Canis lupus familiaris: one gene and its partners. Each later gene encodes a partner of the first gene's protein in a complex. Links are inferred from orthologs where the notes say so. Each region holds a gene or a part of one and is shown on either strand. Other genes may lie near its edges.

What was found.
Region 2: CDK2AP2 (region 1) and MTA1 share a complex: the UniProt entries of both Homo sapiens proteins name them as parts of the nucleosome remodeling and deacetylase (NuRD) repressor complex. The link is inferred for Canis lupus familiaris from reciprocal best matches to the Homo sapiens genes CDK2AP2 and MTA1.
Region 3: CDK2AP2 (region 1) and MTA3 share a complex: the UniProt entries of both Homo sapiens proteins name them as parts of the nucleosome remodeling and deacetylase (NuRD) repressor complex. The link is inferred for Canis lupus familiaris from reciprocal best matches to the Homo sapiens genes CDK2AP2 and MTA3.
Region 4: CDK2AP2 (region 1) and MTA2 share a complex: the UniProt entries of both Homo sapiens proteins name them as parts of the nucleosome remodeling and deacetylase (NuRD) repressor complex. The link is inferred for Canis lupus familiaris from reciprocal best matches to the Homo sapiens genes CDK2AP2 and MTA2.

Annotation. Positions count from the first base shown.
Region 1 is NC_049239.1:50,472,155-50,477,033, reverse strand, and holds CDK2AP2 (cyclin-dependent kinase 2-associated protein 2), read right to left. Parts: upstream 2,947-4,879; 5' UTR 2,351-2,946; coding exon 2,269-2,350; intron 1,964-2,268; coding exon 1,863-1,963; intron 1,777-1,862; coding exon 1,644-1,776; intron 1,287-1,643; coding exon 1,219-1,286; 3' UTR 749-1,218; downstream 1-748. UniProt on the Homo sapiens protein: Acts as a component of the histone deacetylase NuRD complex which participates in the remodeling of chromatin.
Region 2 is NC_049229.1:73,159,710-73,164,623, reverse strand, and holds the start of MTA1 (metastasis-associated protein MTA1), read right to left. Parts: upstream 3,379-4,914; 5' UTR 3,236-3,378; coding exon 2,824-3,235; intron 2,363-2,823; coding exon 2,295-2,362; intron 238-2,294; coding exon 144-237; intron 1-143. UniProt on the Homo sapiens protein: Transcriptional coregulator which can act as both a transcriptional corepressor and coactivator. Acts as a component of the histone deacetylase NuRD complex which participates in the remodeling of chromatin.
Region 3 is NC_049238.1:34,301,503-34,306,253, forward strand, and holds the start of MTA3 (metastasis-associated protein MTA3), read left to right. Parts: upstream 1-1,373; 5' UTR 1,374-1,433; coding exon 1,434-1,461; intron 1,462-3,126; coding exon 3,127-3,194; intron 3,195-4,751. UniProt on the Homo sapiens protein: Acts as a component of the histone deacetylase NuRD complex which participates in the remodeling of chromatin.
Region 4 is NC_049239.1:54,555,540-54,560,536, forward strand, and holds the start of MTA2 (metastasis-associated protein MTA2), read left to right. Parts: upstream 1-1,619; 5' UTR 1,620-1,770; coding exon 1,771-1,798; intron 1,799-2,087; exon of another isoform or gene 2,088-2,160; coding exon of another isoform or gene 2,161-2,170; intron 2,171-2,486; coding exon 2,487-2,554; intron 2,555-2,929; exon of another isoform or gene 2,930-2,997; coding exon 2,998-3,091; exon of another isoform or gene 3,092-4,662; coding exon 4,663-4,780; exon of another isoform or gene 4,781-4,914; coding exon 4,915-4,978; exon of another isoform or gene 4,979-4,997. Other genes in the region: EML3 (echinoderm microtubule-associated protein-like 3), read left to right, coding at 1-30, 418-438, 537-1,114. UniProt on the Homo sapiens protein: May function as a transcriptional coregulator. Acts as a component of the histone deacetylase NuRD complex which participates in the remodeling of chromatin.

The DNA.
Region 1 (4,879 bases):
CAGGCAGACCGCTACTGTGGTCACCGGAAATCCTTGGTCTAGCCCCTGAATGGGGCCCCATGGCTTTTCCCACAGATGCCTTCCGGGTCCACAAGTCTGGCCAACCAGACCCTGGGCAAAGGCTGAGACACCTGAGGGCTGGGCTCACGGGACCACACCCAGCTGGCTAGGAGGTGCTGGGACAGTGGATGGCAGCACCAAGCTGGATCTCGCTCCTGTTGGAAGACCATCCTCTCCCCTTGGCTCTGCTTCTCAGGTGCTGGAGAAAAGCAGCAGCAGTGCCCCCTCTCCTCTGAGAAGTCAGGACGTGTTCAGAACCTTCCAGGGTTGACTGGGAGGTTAAGATTTTAGAAAATTAAGACACGTGAGGGCCTGGCTTATATGAACTGACATTTCCACCCTGCCAGGCACTGACTGCCAATCCAGAGAAAGAACCCTCTAGGCCCGGGCTGGCGACAGTGCCCTCCAGCTGTGGAGGCGGCTAAAGCTCCAGGCTGCCCCCTGGTGGCACCACGTGTAGGAGGGTAGGGCTCACAGCTACTGGAGCTTAAGCCTTTTCAAGACTCAGAACTGTGAAGGCCCAGGGCTGGAGGAGGGCAGGGTCCCAGCCAAGTCAATGGACAGTAGGAGCCAGGCCAGGCCAGGTTCAGTGGCCCTGTCTCCCACCACTGCATTGCCCCTCTCCCCTCCTCGATCTCCTCTTTTCCAATTTCTTCCTGGCTCAGCAGAAGCACCACACTCAGAAAGATTAAGAGGTGAGAGAACAACTCCAAATTATCTTTTATTTATACAAAAAGGGCATATTTAGCAAAAGACACTGACTGAAAAAAGAGTCGCTATGGCCCAGGAGACAAGGCAGGGAGGTGACAGGCCTAGGGAGGCCTTGCTAGGGGAGGAGTCTAGGAAAGGTGGTGACAAGTCCTGGGTAAGTGCTGAGTGGTGGGGGCCACAGAAAGGAGCAAGCTCCAGTTGGATCAACACTGTTGGCAGGTCATGGGCGGGACTCACAGTGACCTCGCTGCTAACTCTTGAAAGAGTCCCAGTCAAGTGTTGTCGGCTGGAGTGAGAGCCGCCCCCTGGTTCCTGGAGGGCACCCACCAGGGGACACAGGACAGGAAGCCCAGGTTGGGAAGTGCAACTCGGGGTGAAGGCCAGGGAGAAGCAGGTGCTCTGCAGTGGCCAGGAAAGGTCCAGACTCGGCGGTGGAATTGCGTCCTGTTACGTGCGGGCGTTCCGCTCTGTCTCTGCCAGGCACTCTCTGACTAGGGCCCGGGCATGGATGATGCCTGAGGTGGGAATGGGCAAGTAACATGCAGCGACCCTGCAGGGTCCCACCCTCATCCTCCAGAGGAAGACCCTCCTTCCCCACCCCCTTTCCTTCCAGTGAAAGGGAGGAGGATGATAAAGGGCCTGATGAGATTAACGATTTGGCTAATCCTCAAATTTGTCCTTTTGAAAGACAAATGCCCTGGTCCTTCCCCCCAAACGGACTCAATTTCAATTCAATTCAAAACACCTCCCTGGAAAGTGACACCCACCCTTGTTTAGGCTTGGGTCACGCGGCCTCCAGATGTCCTTCCTTTGCTAAGGAAGGATTGTCCAGTGTTAGTCTCCTGAGCAGGGAGGGTGGAAGCCTCACTTACCTCTCTTCAGGCGCTCCATGGCGCTCTTGCTGCCAGCATAGGTGGGCCGGATCTCTTTACCCATCTCCTCTATGACCGACAGCAGGTCCGTGTAGGTGCTCTGGGAGCCCTGGGCGCCAGGTGGCTTCATTGCCTATGTCAAAAGAGGACAGGGCCATGAGCTCAGGGCCCGCGGGGACCTCCAGTCCCCGTCCGTAGGCAATCCCTCACCCCACTCACCTGTACATAGCCCATGGAGGGCGGTCCAAAGTCGTTAAACAGGGGCCTGAAAGGGGCAGCGGCTCCCGGCACTGAGCCCGACGGCGATGGGACACTTCCGGCTGCAACATGCGCGAGTAATAGGTCAGCGCGGGGCCGGGACCCGGCCTCCCAGCGTTCCAAGCCCCCGACCGGATTCGCCCGCTTCCCTCCAAAGGGATACTTCGCTCCAGGCGCTCAACTTCAGCGACAAACCCCTCCCCCTGCGCTCCACCAACTAGCCCTTACGTGACCACGCCCACTTCACAGGCCAGCAAACTGAGGCTCAGAGAGGGGAGGCAGCAGGCCCAGTGTTGCAGAACTCGGGCCGTGTTCTCGAGACCTCGACCACCCGGGCAGGCGAGCAGGGGTAGAGTCGGATCCTCACCTGTGGGGACCGGGGTGCCGGGCCCAGGGGTGCTGGAGCCGGGGGTGCTGCTGGGGGCGGGGGCGATGGGTTTGTAGGACATCCCCAACTCTCGGGTGCGGCGGACGCCGGCCGGCCGCTCCTCCGGGGTTGGCTGCTCGGCCGCTCAGCCGCGCTCTGATTGGTAAACCGGCCGCACGCCCCTGGTAAATAGAGCTCAGGCCGGAAGGGCGGGCGGGCACGAACGCTCTCTCACTCCCGATTGGTGTGCGCGGATGTCACTCGGGCCTCCTCATTGGCAGAGATCGGCCCCAACAGGCCGCAACCGCTGCTGATTGGTCTCCGCCTTTCGGACCTCGCACCTGTCTGCTCCGGATTGGGCGGTAGCTGACGCCCTACGCAATTGGCGAGTTCGGGGTCCGGGCCGGCGCGCTCTCAATCCGATTAGTCCCAAGGCCCGAGAGGCGGGGCCTTGGAAGCCGGGACCCGGGTCCGGTCGGCCGCGTTTTGCGCGGAGGGGTCTTCCCGGCGCGGGCGCCGCCTTCACGCTTCACTGGCGCTGCTCTGCACGTCAGCTCCGCACCGCCTGCTCTCGGTCCAGTTGGGGCTGCTATCACTGCCGGCGCCAGCACCGCGCGCGCCTTTCCACTGCACTGAATGCCGGAGGACGCAGGGCTTTGACGTGCGGAGCCCTGCGTCTCACCCCGTGCGCTTTTACGTCACCTTTCGCCGGCTCCACACCCTTTCCCCGGCCTGCGCATGCGCCCTCCTAAAGCTTCCGTTTGTTCCTATGGCAACGGGTCCCTCATCGACGCTGCCTCCGCGCCTCTCGGGTTTGCCTCGTCCTTTGGTCTAAGCTCGTGTTAGGTCCGAGGGCGGCCTCAAAGACCCCTCAGCCAGTCCTCCAAGACTCCGAGCCTGGGCCTCCTACTGGCAACAGCAGGATCATCTCGCCTTCGTTGAATTCTCGCCGCTCGCCGGGCCCTGTACCAAACCGATCTTGGGTGAGAGCACCAAGTGGAGCGAGGCTGATGGTTCGAATCTCACCCCACCGCACCAGCGATTTCCCCTTGGGCAAGTTACCCTAGTATGTTTGGGTTTCCCCATCGTAAAGATGCGGACGTTAGTAATAACTGTCTTACAGGGTTGTGTGGATAAATGAATATTCATAAGGAGCTTGTTTCATTGTCCTCTTTTCTTTCCATTTCTGCATCCAGACCCCTCCCCTCAAATTTCATTCCTCACCACCCTAGATCTTAGACTTTCCTCCGAACACTAACCCTTTCTCTTGGGCTACTTCGCCTCAAAACTATTCTGGCCTTGTGTATTCTTCATGCCCCAGGTCTGTAGATTTTCCTCCTCTCCGTGACATTTCATTCATTCGTCCATTCATCCAACAGGCATTTTCTGACTCCATCCTCCATCCTTGTGCGGGACACTGATGATATGGAAATGAACTGGCCGTGGCTTCTCTCCTCAAGGAGCTCCTGGTCTCAAGGAGAGACAGACAGGAAAGCAAAGGCACACAGCACAATAAGACAATGTGGAGACTGGTATACAGGATGCATTGGAACTAAGAGGAAGGAGCCTGCTTGGTGACATCACAGGAGTCTTTGCAGAGGAGGCAGCTTTCAATTGGCGAATGAACAAACTGTGATATATCCGTATAAGGGACTATTTATTCAGCAATAAAAGGAAATCATCTATCTAGCTCTGAAAAGACACAGGTAGGCATATTTCTAAGCGAAAGAAGCCAGTCTGAAAAAGCTATGCGCTGTATGGTTCCAATTGTATGACATTCTGGAAAAGACAAACTCATACATGAGGTAAACAGATTACTGGGTGCCGGGGGTGGTGAGGGGTAGAGTTAAATGAGTGACATCGGGGATTTTTTTTTTTTTTTTTTTTTTTTTTTAAGGCAGTGAAGTTATTTTGTATGGTAGGATTGAGACAGCCTCACTAAAGGGGTGGGGGAGTAAGGTGCTAATCTGGAAATGGGCGGAGTCTGTAAGTGAATGTAAAGGAGCTGCGGGTAAGCATCAACTTTAGTTGATGAAGCGGTTTTCTGTGGCAGTATGGGTTAACAATTGTGAAGCCACAGCACATGTACACTAGAATTGACAGTTAAGTCAGGATGGATGATTTCTTATTGTTGGAATAAGTAGTGACAGGTAAGCATGTGGAGGAGGCTAACACGATCAAGGTTGGAACTGGAGATATCAGTATGAACTCATGTTTAGCTCAATGTAGATACAGTTGGTTACATAGAGAAATTATATAAAGACTGCATATACACAGATTAGTGTACATGGGTATCTCCTCTGTCTGCTGAGAGGGCCTAGAAGCAACTTAGCACCCAGATCTTGGTTTCTAATAGCATTCTCCAATAAAATGAACCAGAGTTCCTTGGAGAAATGGCTAATTCTAAGACTGGGGTAGGAAATATACAAGATGATCTTGGAAGAAAAAAAACAAAACAAAAAAAGCCAAAAACCTCACAAAACCCCAAACCCACCACACCCCAAAATCCCAAACCCCAAATGCTAACATGATGGGTATATACCAAAGGGATACAGGAGCCAGCTGAAAGGGCTGCCAGTGGCCAAAGCTGGAGCAATTTGAACAAAATTTT
Region 2 (4,914 bases), on another chromosome or scaffold:
CCGGCCCCACACTTCCCAGACTCAGGTTCGAACTACAAACAGGGACTTTGCTTCTGAAAACACTACACCCAGCGTCAGGAAACCTTCGGAGCCACAGAGGCCTCGCCCCTGCCCCCCGCCCCCAGGGAAAGGCCAAGACTCACTGGCGTGCTTGTCGGCCAGGGCGATGAGGGTGCTGGAGATGTCGCGCCTCCGGTAGAAGCACACCACCTTGGCCTCCACGTTGCCGTTGGCCGTCTGCAAGAGCAAGGCAGGGTCTGAGCAACGCACGCCCCCGACCGGCCGGCGGCTGCCAGCAGGGGCGGCCCAGAGGGGCCTCGAGTGACCCCAGGGCCGGCAGGTCGCGGGAGAAGCCAAGCCCAGGGAGCGCTGACGCCGAGTGGGCCGGGGCACGTCTGACCGGGGAGGGGCGCTCGGCGGACCTGAGCCCTCCAGCGGTGCACCCTCCTCCTGGCCCGCCAGCCAGGTCCCCCTGTTGACCTGCGTCCCTCCCCCAGGCCTTGCTCGCTCAGGACCAGAACCTGGTGGACGTCCGGACGCTGGAAAGGCCACAGCCCCTGGGCCCCACCTTCCAGCACCCCTGGGGTGGATCAAGGCCTCTGTCGCACCGCTGGGCAGACCTCAGCGCCAGGGGCCTGGTTCCCCATCAGAACTGGAAGCAGCCACGGGGGCACCTGGTCAGGCGGCCGCCTCTCAATTTCAGCCCAGGTCGTGACCTCAGGGTCACGGGGCCGCGCCCCACGGGCTCCCTGCTCAGCGGGGGTCTGCGCGGGGCTCCCCGCTGGCGCCCTCCTTGGAACCACAGGGGCTGGAGCAAGCAGTCGGTGCCCCTGCCCCGCCGGCCCCCGGGGAGGCCGCCAGCGCCCAGACGCCTTCCAGGACCTCCGAAGAGCTCAGCAGACACGAGAGAGGTGGGGGGGCGGGGAGCGCCGGGTGACCAGCCGGGAGCTCAGGGGCCGCAGCCAGCTGCCGCCCCCGCCCTGCGCCAGAGCTGCGCCCAGACGAGCCCCGACTTCCGGGGACTTGACCCTCGGGGCCGTTTCTCCTGTGCCCAAGGGGCCCTGGGGGCCTGGGGGCTCCGGGCAGGGTGGCCCCAGCAGGGAAGGGCCCACAAAACGAGCTCCCAGCGGCCCCAGCCGGGACTGCCCCGGGTCCCCGGGCAGCAGGGGAGGCGGGCTGCGGGGGCCAGAGGGTCCCTCCCGCCCCACCCCAGTACTGAAGGGGGCTGCAGGCTCACACGCAGACGCCCATCGACCCCACCCCGAGCGCTCCAATGGCGGGCTGTGGCCACTGCCGTGCAGACCCGTCACCTGCAGGCTGCCACAGGTGGTGCCACCTGCCCTCTCCACGTCACAGCCAAAGCGAGGGGCAGGGGCTGTGCTGGCCCCACCCGAGACCCACTGCCCGCGGCCAGCCCAGCAGTGGGCCCCCGGCTCCCCCGCCACGCTCCCCACCGCTCACTGGAGTCGCGGGCCCGACCCCATGTGTTCCCGAGCCGATGCCCACCCCGTGCCCTGCTGGCCCTGCTGCCCGGGCGGGCCGTGGGCAGCTTCCCCCAGCAAGCACCCGCGGGAGGTGGCCCCACAGCGTCCTGGTCACTGCCCTCGCCCTGCCGCGTCCAGACCTGGCCCAGCCTCCCAGGAGCTGCCAGGCTGCAAGGACCAGCCCCACACGCTGTGTGCAGCGGAGGCCTGGGGGCACCCCCTCCCCCGGGCAGATGCTGCGCAGGAGTCTCGGGAACGGGGGCACAGGGGTCGGGGCTCGGCTGCCACCAGTCTGCTCCGTGGAGCACCAGCACCCCGACCTCCGCCCCCAGCCCGCCGGTCCCAAGGATGCCCAGCCACGCTGCCGTGCTCGGGGTCCAGGAGAGCAGCCCTTGAGGACTGGCCTCACGGAGCACAGCCAGTCGGGGACAACAGGTGCTCCGGGGCCAGGGACTCCACGGCCGCAGGGACACTCCTGCCTCTCCCCAGTGCTGCCGGGGGCGCCTCAGAGCGGGAGGCTGGCGGGAGGGGGGGCGGCTGCGAGGGCCCAGAGCGGGGCGGCAGGGGCCTGAGTGAGCCGGGAAGAGGCAGAGGCAGCAGGTGGGCGGGGAGACCCCGGCCAGGGGGACCCCACAGGGCGCCCCTGTCCCACAGAGCACACCCGCCACAGGGACCCCACGGAGAGCTCTCCAAGGAGAAGGACCCAGGTGTAGGCGTGTGGCACGGGAACAAAGCCACCGAAGGGTCTGGGGCCGGCCCTGAAGCCCCGGGCGGCCCCCCCCCACCACGCGCCCCCCCCCATGCACGTACCTTGTTGAGCTCCTCGATCCTGCGAATCAGGTACGGGTTGCTGGAGGAGTTCTCAAAATAGACGTAGTCTGCAAACAGGAACAGAGTGCGTCACCCCGCAGCACTGAGCCCGGGGACCAGGGGAGCCCCGACCCCCCTCACACCCGCGCCCAGTTCTAGGGGCCAGGGAACAGGAGGGAACGAAGGACACGGTGCCCCTGCCACCTTAGTGCACAGACAGGTACCCAGACATGTTGGTGGGTGCCGGGCACGGGTCCTAGAGGACGGAGGGGGCTGTCCCGGGCAGAGGGTCCACACGCCCCGCCCCCTGCCCCGCGCAGACGCTGTGGGAGCCGGACTGCAGCTTCCCCCAGGACAGCTTCCGAGGGGCTGCCGGGCGCCTGCACCTGCCCCCCCACCCCACGCGCCCCGGGCAGGGAACGGAGGAGGCCGGGGCTCCCTGGGCAGAGGCAGGGCTCTCGGGGGTGCGGACGGGGTCAGGTGCCAGAGGAACGAGGTCCCGCCACCGCCCGCCAGGTCCCCAGCACACCATGTGGGCACCAGCTCGCCTCCGGCTCCAGAGCAGCCTGGGATCGGTCCCCAGGAGGCTGGCAGGCACCCGGGATTTCCCAAGAGGCCCACGGGGGCGGCTGGCCGGCTCCCACGGAGCCCAGGCCAGCCGGGAGGCCACCCAGCTGCCAGCCTGGCCGCCGCCGTGATATAGCAGGTAGCTCGGGGCAGCTGCGGGTGACTCGGTGCCAGGACGAGGCCAGGCTGCAGTCCCCAGCAGGGGTGCCCCGCGCTGTCCCCCGTGCCCCAGGGAAGGCCTGCAAGAGGCCCGTGTCAGCCGGGACACAGCCAAAGGGCCACTCGGAGCACAGATCTTGCCCCAGGACCCAGGCCAGCTCCGTCCTCTCAAGAGGTCCTACCGCTCCACCGTGTGGAGAGGCCCCAGCAAGCATCTGGCACCTGCTGCTGCTGTGTACCTGCTGCAGGCACCTGAGGGGGCTCACCTGTGCTTGGGGGGGGGCGCTCACCTGTGCTGCAGAGGAGAGCTCACCTATGCTGCAGGGAGATGGGGGCGCTCACCTATGCTGCTGCGGGAGGCTCACCCGTGCTGCAGGAGAGGCTCACTATGCTGGGGGGTCCTCACCTATACTGTAGGAGGGAGCGCACCTGTGCTGCTGGGGGGGGCTCACCTGTGCTGCCCGAGGCCACAGCCGGATGGGACGCGGCCATGGGCACCCACAGAGCTCCACGGAACGAAAGAGCAACAGCACTAACAGCCCAGAGGGAACAGGGCTGCCGGGCTCAGAGGGCCACGCTCGCGGGCTGGGGGGGAAGAGAGCTCTACGGGAGGGGGCCATCGACGGGCTCGAGGTCGGCTTGACGGCAGTGGAAACACTCTGAACACAGACCGCGGCCACACCGTACGCCTCGTGAGCGGGTGAATTTTATCACACGTGAATTGTCGCTCAAAAGAGCAGTTTTAATATAAAGCCCTATTGGTCTTAAAGCTTTCATCCAAAGAAACCAAAAAACCAATTAAATCAAAGCTGTCGGGGATCCCTGGGTGGCTCAGCGGTTTAGCGCTGCCTTTGGCCCCGGGCGTGGTCCTGGAGCCCCGGGATCGAGTCCTGCATCGGGCTCCCTGCGTGGAGCCTGCTTCTCCCTCTGTGTCTGTCCCTCTCTGTGTCTCTCATGAATAAATAAGTAAAAAATCTATTTTAAAAAAAAATAAGTAAATAAACCAAAGCTGTTATTCACATGCAGTCTACACTGGACACGACCCAGGAGGAGCCCCACCGGCCCTGCATGCGGCTCTGAGGATCCCTGCTCAGGCAGGGGGCTGGGGGGCACGGGGCTGCGTCCCAGCCGCCAGTTGCACCCCTGCATGTGCTCCCCACAATTCAGACCTGCACGCCTGAGACGGGTGGGTTAAGCTTTGGTAGATGGGAAAACACGCAAAGCAAAAAGATGGTAGATGATGAGCAAAAACCAGCATAATGAGGAAAAATGAACTCGTGTAAACAGCCAGTAAGGGGATCAACCTCAGGCCAGGGTGACAAAGGAAAGACCCGGAGGGTGAGTGAGCGAGAGCTGGGTAGGAGGGGGCTCCCGGCGCCGCTGCCTGACGGCTCAGGTGACACGGGGCCCGCGCTGGGCAGACGCAGACCCCCGAGCTCCCTGCAGACAAACAGGCAACCCTGTGCCCTAAAGAAATCAGGCTCGGGCAGCCCGGGGGGCTCAGCGGCTTAGCTCCACCTTCAGCCCAGGGCGTGATCCCGGGGACCTGGAATCGAGTCCCACGTCGGGCTCCCTGCGTGGAGCCTGCTTCTCCCTCTGCCTGGGTCTCTGCCTCTCTCTGTGTCTCTCATGAATAAATTAAATAAAATCTTAAAAAAAAAAAAAATCAGGCTCAGGGGCACCGTGGTGGGCTGAGAGTCTGCCTTTGGCTCAGGTCACGATCCTGGGGCCCCGGGGTCAAGCCCCACGTCGGGGTCCACGCTCAGCCTGGAGCCTGCTTCTGCTTCTCTCTCCCTTTCCCTCTCCCTGTGTTCTCTCTCTCTTTATTTTTATTTCTTTTTAATTTTTTTTTTATTTATTTATGATAGTCACAGAGAGAGAGAGAGGCAGAGAC
Region 3 (4,751 bases), on another chromosome or scaffold:
ACAGATCCCATACCCAGGGTCACCAACATGTAGCTGTAAATCACCAGAAACTCCACAAACAACTCACAACAGTGAGGGATCATCTTACCCTTGATTATATAATGATGTCTGGAAGTAGTTTGGAATGGATTGGCTTTTTATTTTTTCAATTTAAAACAAATTTTTATCAAGGTTTATTTGAGAGAGCACTTGGAGGAGAGGCAGAGCGACAGGGAGAGAGAATCCCAAGCAGACTCCTCACTGAGCATGGGGGGGGGTGTGTGTGTGTGCCTGGACACCGCCTCCAGATAATGACCTGAGCCAAAATCAAGAGTCAGGTGCTGCTGGCTTTTTAAAAAGTTGTTTGCATTCATTTGGGGGATTGCCAGCTAAGATTCAATTCAATTTGTTTTTTTGCTTGTTTCTGTGAGGGAATGGAGGCTGAGAATGCTGGGATTGCCTAGAGAATTGGCATGGGAAAATAATGATTCAAAAGCATTAGGCACATAACTAGTTAAAAGTCCATCAACAGTAAGGGGACTGAAACCATCTCCCCCTTTGTGGAGAGGGGGTGGGAATGGCGAATAAGTAGGGTCCCTTTCCTAAGGGCCTCTTTTCCTGGCAGGGCGGCACTGGATATAGGGTCTGTCTAGAGGCCAGGCCTCCGCTGGGAGTGGGTTCTGTTCAGCCCACGCGTGGGGTGAACTTGATAGACCTGTCAATGCAGTTGGGGTGACTTGGGAGGGGGTCAGTGTTTTTGGACTTCTCTCCAGCTAGCACGCTCCCTGGGGAAGCTGGTAGCACCAGGGTCCTCCTGGCCCCAAGGTATGCGGGTTCCATCACCACCATGAGGCAGGCGCTCTGCTGGGCGCACTTATTTGTTTCCAAGTGTTTGCCCTGAGGCAGGCGCCCACGTGCTCAAGGTCTTGCATACAAGGGCTCCCCAGGGACGCAGCAAGGAGGAAGACCTGTCTGCGGGTGGCCAGGTGACAGGGTACGGTGGCTGGGGCTGTGTGGGCTCGGGAGAGCCTGAGCCCCTGCCCCCACCCCAATTCTCCCACCGCTCCAGGTCCGCATTTGCCACTGCAGGCCTCCGCTTCGGCCACGACCCTTGCCCTGGGGTCGCCCACCTCCGGCGAGGGCCCCCAAGCCGCCGCCTCCCCAGGTCCCCGCGGGCCCCGCAGCGACCTCCCCCGGCCCGGCCCGGCCCGGCCCGCTCGGCCCGGCTGGCCCGTCGCTGGGGGCGGGAACCTGCCCCCACCCCGCGGCGTCCCCTCCCCTTCGCTTCCCCCTCCCCTCCCCTCGGTGCCTCCCTCCCCTCCCCCCCGCGGCGAGGCGGCGGCGGCGGCGGCGGCGGCGGCGGCGGCCGAGGCTGAGGCGGCCGAGGCTGAGGCGGCGGCGGCGCGGCGCGGCGGGCGGGGCTCGGCTCGGGCTCCGCGGGCGGGCGGGCGGACATGGCGGCCAACATGTACCGGGTCGGAGGTAGGAAGGCTCGGCCCGACCCGGCCCGTCTGGGAGCGGGCTCCGGGAGTGGGGGGTCGGGGCGAGTTCACCCTAACCGCCGGGGGCCGCGGGCGCGGGGGGCAGGGGCGCCGGGGCCCGCAGGAGGGGCCGGGGCTCCCCACCCGCGCCACCCGCGCCACCCGCCCCTCCCCCGGCCGTGGCCCGCCGGGGGCCGGCGCCCACCTTCCCCCTCGCTCGCACCCCCGCTCAGTTTTCTAGGGCCGGCCGGGCCTGTACTTGGGGGTGTGAATTCTCAGCTGCCCCCCTCCGAGACGCCCCCATTGGGTGTCGGCCGTCGAGCCCCCAGTGGGGTGCTCTTTCCCTGCGTGGCTTCCAGGCAGTGGGGGGGTTGGAGAGGATGGGGGGACGCCCCCCCGCTCTACTCCTTCACCCCTTCAGTTGGGAGCGGGGGGTGGGGGCGATGGGGGCTCAGCCAGGCACAGCTGGACAGGCCTGTTGGCGGGGATAGGGCCCTTCACCTCTCCTTCCTCACTCCCCCCTCCCGTTTCTTGCCCAGCCCCCCCAAGATGGGGCGTAGTGGGGCCAGGGCACCGCGGCCAGAGGTGGGGAGTTGAGCTCTGCCCGGACGTTTGCTCTGGTGACTGCCTTCTCAGCCCTCTGCAGAAAAGAGAAATAAGGTCAAACAAACTTTCTCCCTACTCACGACGCCCTCCTCCCTCTTTCTTGGTAGAATAATAATTCAGATAAGTGGCGTGTTTGTGTGTGAGACTTGGTCTTCTCTGCTCATTAGCTGAGCTCCTGATGGATGGTAGTGGGAATGGCCTGGCCAAATGAGGCCACTTTGCAGAAGAGAGACGACGGAAAGAGCCACTAAGATAGACAATAACAATGCAGCCCAGCCTTTCAAATAAACACACAGTGGGAAGTTTCCAGTGAGCCTATTACAGGAGAGGAAAAGCCACACTTGAAAATTTTTATCTTTTTTATTGAAAGCCTGCGGTGATTTTTTTTTTTATAACAAGACCCCAAATGGATCTGTATTAAATATGGTAAAGAGCATAACAAAATCCTGATAACCATCTCCAGAGAGCTCTGTCTCTCAGAAAGGGAATCCCCTTTCATGCCCCCCCCCCCCCCCCCAATCATCCCAGATAGAGCTGTGGAAGTTTGTCAGTGTGCTTCCTCTTACCTATTCTGCTCACCTGATTTTTTTTTTTTTTTAAGTTGGTGATTGAAATGTACTTTGGGCTGCTAAGCTTTTCAAGATGCTCTGAATTTGTCTTAGGTCAATAGTTTTATGTGAGAAGCATACTCCAGGGTAAATTGGATTGGAGGGGAAAGATGTGGAAGCAGTTATAGCATGAAAGACACATGTTTAGTCAGCCCTGACTACTCGGTGATGAGGAGTCTTTTTGTTTATTATTAAAGAAGTGATGTGTGGCATGAAAGGCTCAGAGAGCTTGATAAAACATTAATTGTTAAATGAAAATTTCAGGAAAATAAGGGTCTGTGAATAGTAGGCATGAGAAAATATATTAAGGTTGTATTGCTAAATTTGCTTTTAACCGGGAATGAATTATGTGCTTCATTTTGAATGTGCATTGCCTAATATAGAAAGTCATAGATTGACAAATGTGAACTTTCTGTTGAAAAGATTAAGGTCTTTACTTCCTTTAATTACAGATTATGTCTACTTTGAGAATTCCTCCAGTAACCCGTACCTAATCAGAAGGATAGAAGAACTCAACAAGGTATAAACGCTAAGTGTTCTTGATTCTAATATTAAAAAAAAATTGTTTTCCATTGACGAGTAATTAGGTAAAGGGCATAAGAGGTGATTTTACTTTCAGTCCTGGACTCTTTGAAACTAGAGATTGAAGATTAGAGAGTTATGCAGGATTCTGAATATTCTTTTGCTTTTATAATTACCTATGATATTAAATGTTACTGAATATTTAACATCTGCAGATTTCTGGGATGCCTGGGCTCAGTGGTTGAGCATCTGCCTTTGGCTCGGGGCGTGATCCCAGAGTCCCAGGATCAAGTCCCACATCGTGCTTCCTGCATGGAGCCTGCTTCTCCCTCTGCCTACATCTCTGCCTGTCTGTGTGTCTCTCATGAATAAATAAATAAAATCTTAAAAAAAAAAATCTGCAGATTTCTTCACGTTGCTCAGATCTTCTCGGAGCAGGTCACTCTTGTAACTGTCCCTTTTTATATTTAGAGTCATAATTGTATTTCTTTCAGGGAATTATTTTTTCCTCTTTCAGCTTTAGAAAGAGGAAGCTAGGAAATGTAGTATTGAAGCGAATTTGTAAAATTTTGGACTAGGTCAACTAATAAGAATACAGTTTTGTTATAATGTAAAGTAGCTTCCTACTTTAGGCCTGACAGCAGAAGCTTTGTGACTGTTTGCAATAGGTGAGCTTATTATAATGGTAGCATATGAAAAGCCATAAACTATATGAACCATGGATTACTAATGGTGCTCTGGTTTCCTCCAAACCAACTTTGAAGATTATTTGTTTTACTTATGAGAGTTCATAGTGTTAAAATGTCGGAAGCTGTCTTGCTAATACCTTTCCTCCAAAGTACCTTCTAGAGACTGGGGAAGTTCTGAGTCCCAGGATGTAAGATTTGGTTTAGGGCATTTCTGGTTTATGAACCCTGAGATCTTGGTTTGCTTCTGGAGACATCCCCATGGACCTTACATCTATAAAAATTCTGTTGTAGTTGAGACCACCACCATCAAATGAAGAAAATGACCTCAGGATTAGATCAGTCTGTTGGTGGGAACAGTTGGGGTGTCATTTTGATCTTTTTTTTTTTTTAAAGATTTTATTTCTCCATGAGACACACACACACACACACACACACACACACACACACAGAAGCAGAGACACAGGCAGAGGAGAAGCAGGCCCATGCAGGGAGCCTGACGCAGGACTTGATCCCCGGTCTCCAGGATCAGGCCCTGTGTTGAAGGCGGCGCTAAACTGCTGAGCCACCTGGGCTGCCCTCATTCTGATCTTCTCTTTTATTTTAGTGATGTGTAAGAGTGTAGGCAACTTGAAACTGTTTATGAGTTTATTTAGAAAATTAATTAGGATACAAAGAGAAGTGTTGGCCTATGAAACATATTCTCTGGCTGCTCCCTATCCCTCTGACCTCCACTCTTACTGCTCTCTGCCTTGTTCATTTAGCTCCAAAGACAGTAGACTCTTTGCTGTTTTCACATACACGTACCTCAGGACCACCCCACCAAGTTGTTTCTAATTCCCTGTACCTTGCTCTACCTTGCTCTTTTC
Region 4 (4,997 bases), about 4.1 Mb from region 1:
ACACCTGCGTGCTGGGCTTCCATGTCTATGGTGAGCAGGGCCTTTGGAACCATCCAGGAGGGGTGGGGGGCAAGGTGGAGTCCTCCCTGGGCTCGGCATGCTGGGCGTGTGTCAAGGGGTTGGCGTCTAGAAGCGGGCAGATCCAGCCCGGGCGGCCCCTCAGGCCCTGGGCTGTCGGGACGGACTGGGAAGGATTGCCTGGGACGCGGCCGGTGGGTGGCCGCCCTGCCTGAGCACCAGAACGTGCGTCCCTGGGCCGAGGGTGGGCACGGGGAGGAGGCCGTACTGAGGCTGGCCGCCGTGCTAGGCGTGTGGCCCGACGGCTCGGATGGCACCGACATCAACTCCCTGTGCCGCTCCCACAACGAGCGCGTGGTGGCCGTGGCCGACGACTTCTGCAAAGTGCACCTGTTCCAGTACCCGTGCGCGCGCGCCAAGGTGAGGCCTGGCGGGCTGGGCTGCTGCGGCCGGGCGGGCGGGCGGGCGGGCGGGCCCGGGCTCGGCGCCGCCGCAGCTCCGTCTTGGTTCCCGCCCAGGCGCCCAGCCTCGTGTACGGCGGCCACGGCAGCCACGTGACCAGCGTCCGGTTCACGCACGACGACTCGCACCTCATCTCGCTGGGCGGCAAGGACGCCAGCATCTTCCAGTGGCGAGTGCTGGGCGCCGGGGGCGCGGTGCCAGCGCCCGCCACGCCCTCGCGAACCCCCTCGCTGTCCCCGGCCTCCTCTCTCGACGTCTGACCGCTGCGGGAGGGCACTCACCGGCCCGCGGCCCGGCTCCGCCCCATCCGCAGCCCCCGGGGCCGGGGGCCCACCTTTCCTGGACTCCGAGACATTCCTGGTCGCGCGTTTCCCTGGAGGGGGCGAGTGGCACCCCCCGCGCACACTGTAGAGACCCGCTGGCCGAGCCGGGCAGCCCCAGCCTGGGCCCCGACTCCCGCCGCCTGCTGAGGGGCAATAAACCAGAAGCAAAGTCGCCTCTCAGTCCTTTTGTGGGGCGCGGCTGGGTGCCTCCGGAGCCCTGGGGGGTGGCGATGAAGAAAAAGAGGAGTTTGGACCGAGTCGGGGAGCGTAGGCCGCTCATGCAAACGATAGGCAAAGCCGCTTGCAAATGACCCGGCGAAGCGCGAAGGCGCGCGAGTCTTTCGTGGCCTCAGGCGGAGGTACGGGGGCTCCGGCGAGGATAGAGTTAAGCCCAACTCTTCTCCCGCCCTCGGAGGAGGGGCCGAGCCGCGACGGAAATAGCCGAGCGCCCGGCCGCGGTTGGCCGGAGGGAGCCGAACCTCTTCCGGAAGCGGCCGATCTCTGGGCTCCGTCTCTCCGACCTGAGCCGAGCGCCGGGCCTTGTTCTCCGGATCGGCCGAAGGTGTTCCGGAAGGAGGCGAAGCCCGAGGCGGGCAGGGCAAGCCTCCTCGGCGGCCGGCAGAGTCCGACGTCTGCTGGGGCTCGGCGAGGGCGGAGGTGGGGGCGCCGGAGCCTGGCTCCGGTCCGGCGGGAGCCGAGCTCGTTCCGGAAGAGGCCGAGCGGACCGGCGCTGGCCTCGGCGTCCCGGGCGTGAGGCGGCGGCGGCGGCGGCGGCGGCGGCGGCGGCGACGGCGCGGGCCGGGATGAAACGAGACGGCTGAGGTGGCGGAGGTGCCGGCTGCGCGGGACCGACCGAGACTTCCGCGAAGCGCCAGCCCCGCGCTCGGGGCTTCGCCTCGCGCCGAGCCCTGCCACCGCGAGTCTCCCGGACCCCTTTGTGCGGCCGGAGGCGGCGGCGGGAACGGCCATGGCGGCCAACATGTACCGGGTGGGGGGTGAGTACCGGGCGCAGGGGCTGCAGGGGCCGGGGCCGGGGCCGGGGCCGGAGAGGCGCGGCGGCGGGCAGCGCGGGTCGCCGCGTCTGGGGCGGCGTGGCCCCGAGCGCGGACCGGAACCGGAACCGGGAGCTCGGGGAGCGAGGCTGCGGGGACGGCGACGCGGCGGGGCCCCGCGGCCTTCGGAGAGGCTGCGGGAGGCCGCGACGGCGCCGTCCTGGCCGCGTCGGGGGCCCCCGGGGTCGGGCGGCGGGGCCTGGGAGGGTGGTTCGGCTCGAGCTGACAGGGCAGGCAGGGGGCGGAGGGGGCAGAGCGGCCGCCGCCGGGAGGTGTCCTCCTCCCGGGCGTTATTGTGCGCCTGGATGCTAAAAGGTGAGGGTCAGCGATTGCTCATTTGGCCGAGACGGGTGCATCTCCCTGGCGGAGTTGTAGGGACGGCAGGGGACCCCCTGCTTCTTGCTCCTTCCTTAAGGCTCACTTTTGAGGGAAGGATTTGAGATTAGAACTTGGGTGGTGGTGGGGAAACCCCTTGTTTTCTCGTGGTCTCTCCACTTCCACATTTCAGCGTCCTCTCTACCTGGATCCTTATCCCCTTGGTCCTCTCAGGCCTCCTCTCTCTCCCACCCCGGTGCTGTCTTTCCCATCTCCCCCTCTGATCTTCCCGGTGCTTCCCCACCCCCTCCTACAGATTACGTCTATTTTGAGAACTCCTCCAGCAATCCTTACCTGGTTAGACGGATTGAGGAGCTCAACAAGGTGAGTGGAACAGAGAGAGTCCCACCCCTGTCCTGTCTGGCCTCCCCCCCTCCCCCCTCCGGGAGGGTCTTTTTCTTCTGAGGTCACTAACTTCAGGTGGAAGGCGGAGGCGGGGTGGAGGGGAACCAATCCTATCCTAAGCGCCCATTCATATTCATTCATTCATTCATTCATTCATTCATTCGGTGTATTCAGGAAAGGCTTTTGAGAGCTGGGTGGGAACCTTCTATTCTATCTCTCCTGGGCCAAGGAAAGGGAAAATCTGGAGGATAAAAAGTTTGGAAGTCTGTCCTTAAACGCCAAGTTTTATTCATAATCTTTTGGGTCTTTCTATTTATACCCCTTAGAGACTTATGCACTGTTGTTAGTCTCTTCTTTTTGTGTTTCCACTTTAAAATGACCAACTTTAACTGCTGTTTTTTTTTTTTTTTTTATCCTCTTAGACTGCAAATGGAAATGTGGAGGCAAAGGTTGTGTGTCTTTTCCGGCGAAGGGACATTTCTAGTAGCCTCAATAGTCTGGCTGATAGCAATGCCAGTGAGTGTCTTTGCACCCCCCCCCCCTCCACGCTCCCCCTCCCCATGATCTGAGGCCTGGGCATGTCCCTGCAGGTGTTTCCCCTGGTAGCATGCCCAAAGCAGGGGTGTGAGTTTGGGGGTGAGAAATGCCTGGTTTGCGGAGGGAGGCCTGTTTTTACACGTTGGGGTTGGAAGCAGGGTGGAGAGACCATGATAAGGAAAGCCAGAAAATGGCTTGTGTGTGTGTATCTGAATGATGGGTGTAAAAGAGATGATAGTATTTAAGTAGGGGATGAAGAAGAGCTTTAGAGAAGCAGGACCCTTGGGGGTCAGTTTTGGGTACCTTGGGACAATGGGTAGTGACTGTAAAGGTCAAGGTTGAAGAGGAAGAGCGTGTACTTGGAAGCCTGCATAACAAGGAAGCAGCCTAATTTTGCGATCACGAAGTAATGAGAATACATTGAAGGAAGAGAATGGGAAACTAGGAAACTTTTCTTGCCCTTTTTCCTCTTTCTCACCTCTTCTGTTTTGCTCCACTCCATTTTACATCTTTTCCTTTTGTGTTATCTTCCTTCTCTTTATGCTTTCATCTTCCTTTAAAAAAACTATTTCTTTATGTTTTCCTTAGTTTCTTTTTCCTTTCCTGCTTTGGCTTTCTTTCCTCTTCCTCTTGTTCCTCCTTCTGAAATTATCTTCCTTATTTCAGGCAGCTGTGGCCATGAAGGGGTTAACGAGGAGCTAGGCCTACCAAGTTCTCTGGCCCTCTGGGGTTTCCAGCCCCATCTGGCAGGGGCTGACCTTGGCCTTGTCCAATCAGAAGGGGTGGGGGGGGTGTGGTCCCCCCCTTGCCTTAGCACTGGGTTTCCGGAGCACACAGGCGAGGGGTGGAGCCTGCTGCACCCCACCCCCCCCTTCTCCCTGAGGTTGGGAACAATGCACCAATGAGCCTGGGCCTGTGGCTCTCCTGCCCCCTCCCGCTTTGGTTGGCCCTCAGCCAAGTTAACCCTTTCCACCAAGGTTTCAGGGCAAAGTTGCAGTGCCTGGGGAGGAAGGCACTGGCGCTGGCTTGAGAGGTACTGTCCTTGGAAGCCCCACAAACAATCATTAGTCAAGTGGACAGTGAAGAATAGTTAGGACTGCGAGATGTATAAGAGCAAAGAGACTCCTGAAATCTGAAAAGAACTAGTAAACACAACCTCGTGTGATGATTTTTCACCTTATTGGGTTTCTGGAACTCGGGCTGGTTTAGCAAGAGAGAGGAGTGTGATATTCTTGCTGGGCCTGAAGTGGGCAGATTTGTGCTTTATGAGTGGCATTTAAGCATTGGCACCTGGGTTTGGGATGCATTTCTGTGGCATTCTTTGTACTCTTAGCAGCGATTCCCAAGGCATTAGTGATGGGGAGTTGGGAGCACTGTAATGGGGAGAGGGCTAAGTGGGAAGTTTGGCGGGCTTAGGGGCTGAGAGGTAGATGCCTGGGGAATGTGAAAACCAGCTGGAATAGGAAATGTTTTCCCCGGGGTTAGAGTTGCCAGGGTGGCTTCTTTCTGAATTAGTTTCTGACTTGGCTTCTTCCTCCTTCATCTCCCAGGGGAGTTTGAGGAGGAATCAAAGCAGCCAGGGGTGTCAGAGCAGCAGCGACATCAGCTGAAGCACCGGGAGCTTTTTCTTTCTCGGCAATTTGAATCCTTACCAGCCACCCACATACGGTATAGGACAATCAAGGCCACTGTGGCCTGTAGGCACTTCCGTAGAAGCTGGCAAGGGAGGGGGTGGTGTATTGGAGATGCTGTGGAGAGGCAGTGAGGAGCTCACCCGGGGTTTTCTGACTTCTCTTCTGTAGGGGGAAATGCAGTGTGACGCTCCTGAATGAGACTGACATCTTGAGCCAATACTTGGAAAAGGAGGTGAGAAAGAGGTGCTGGG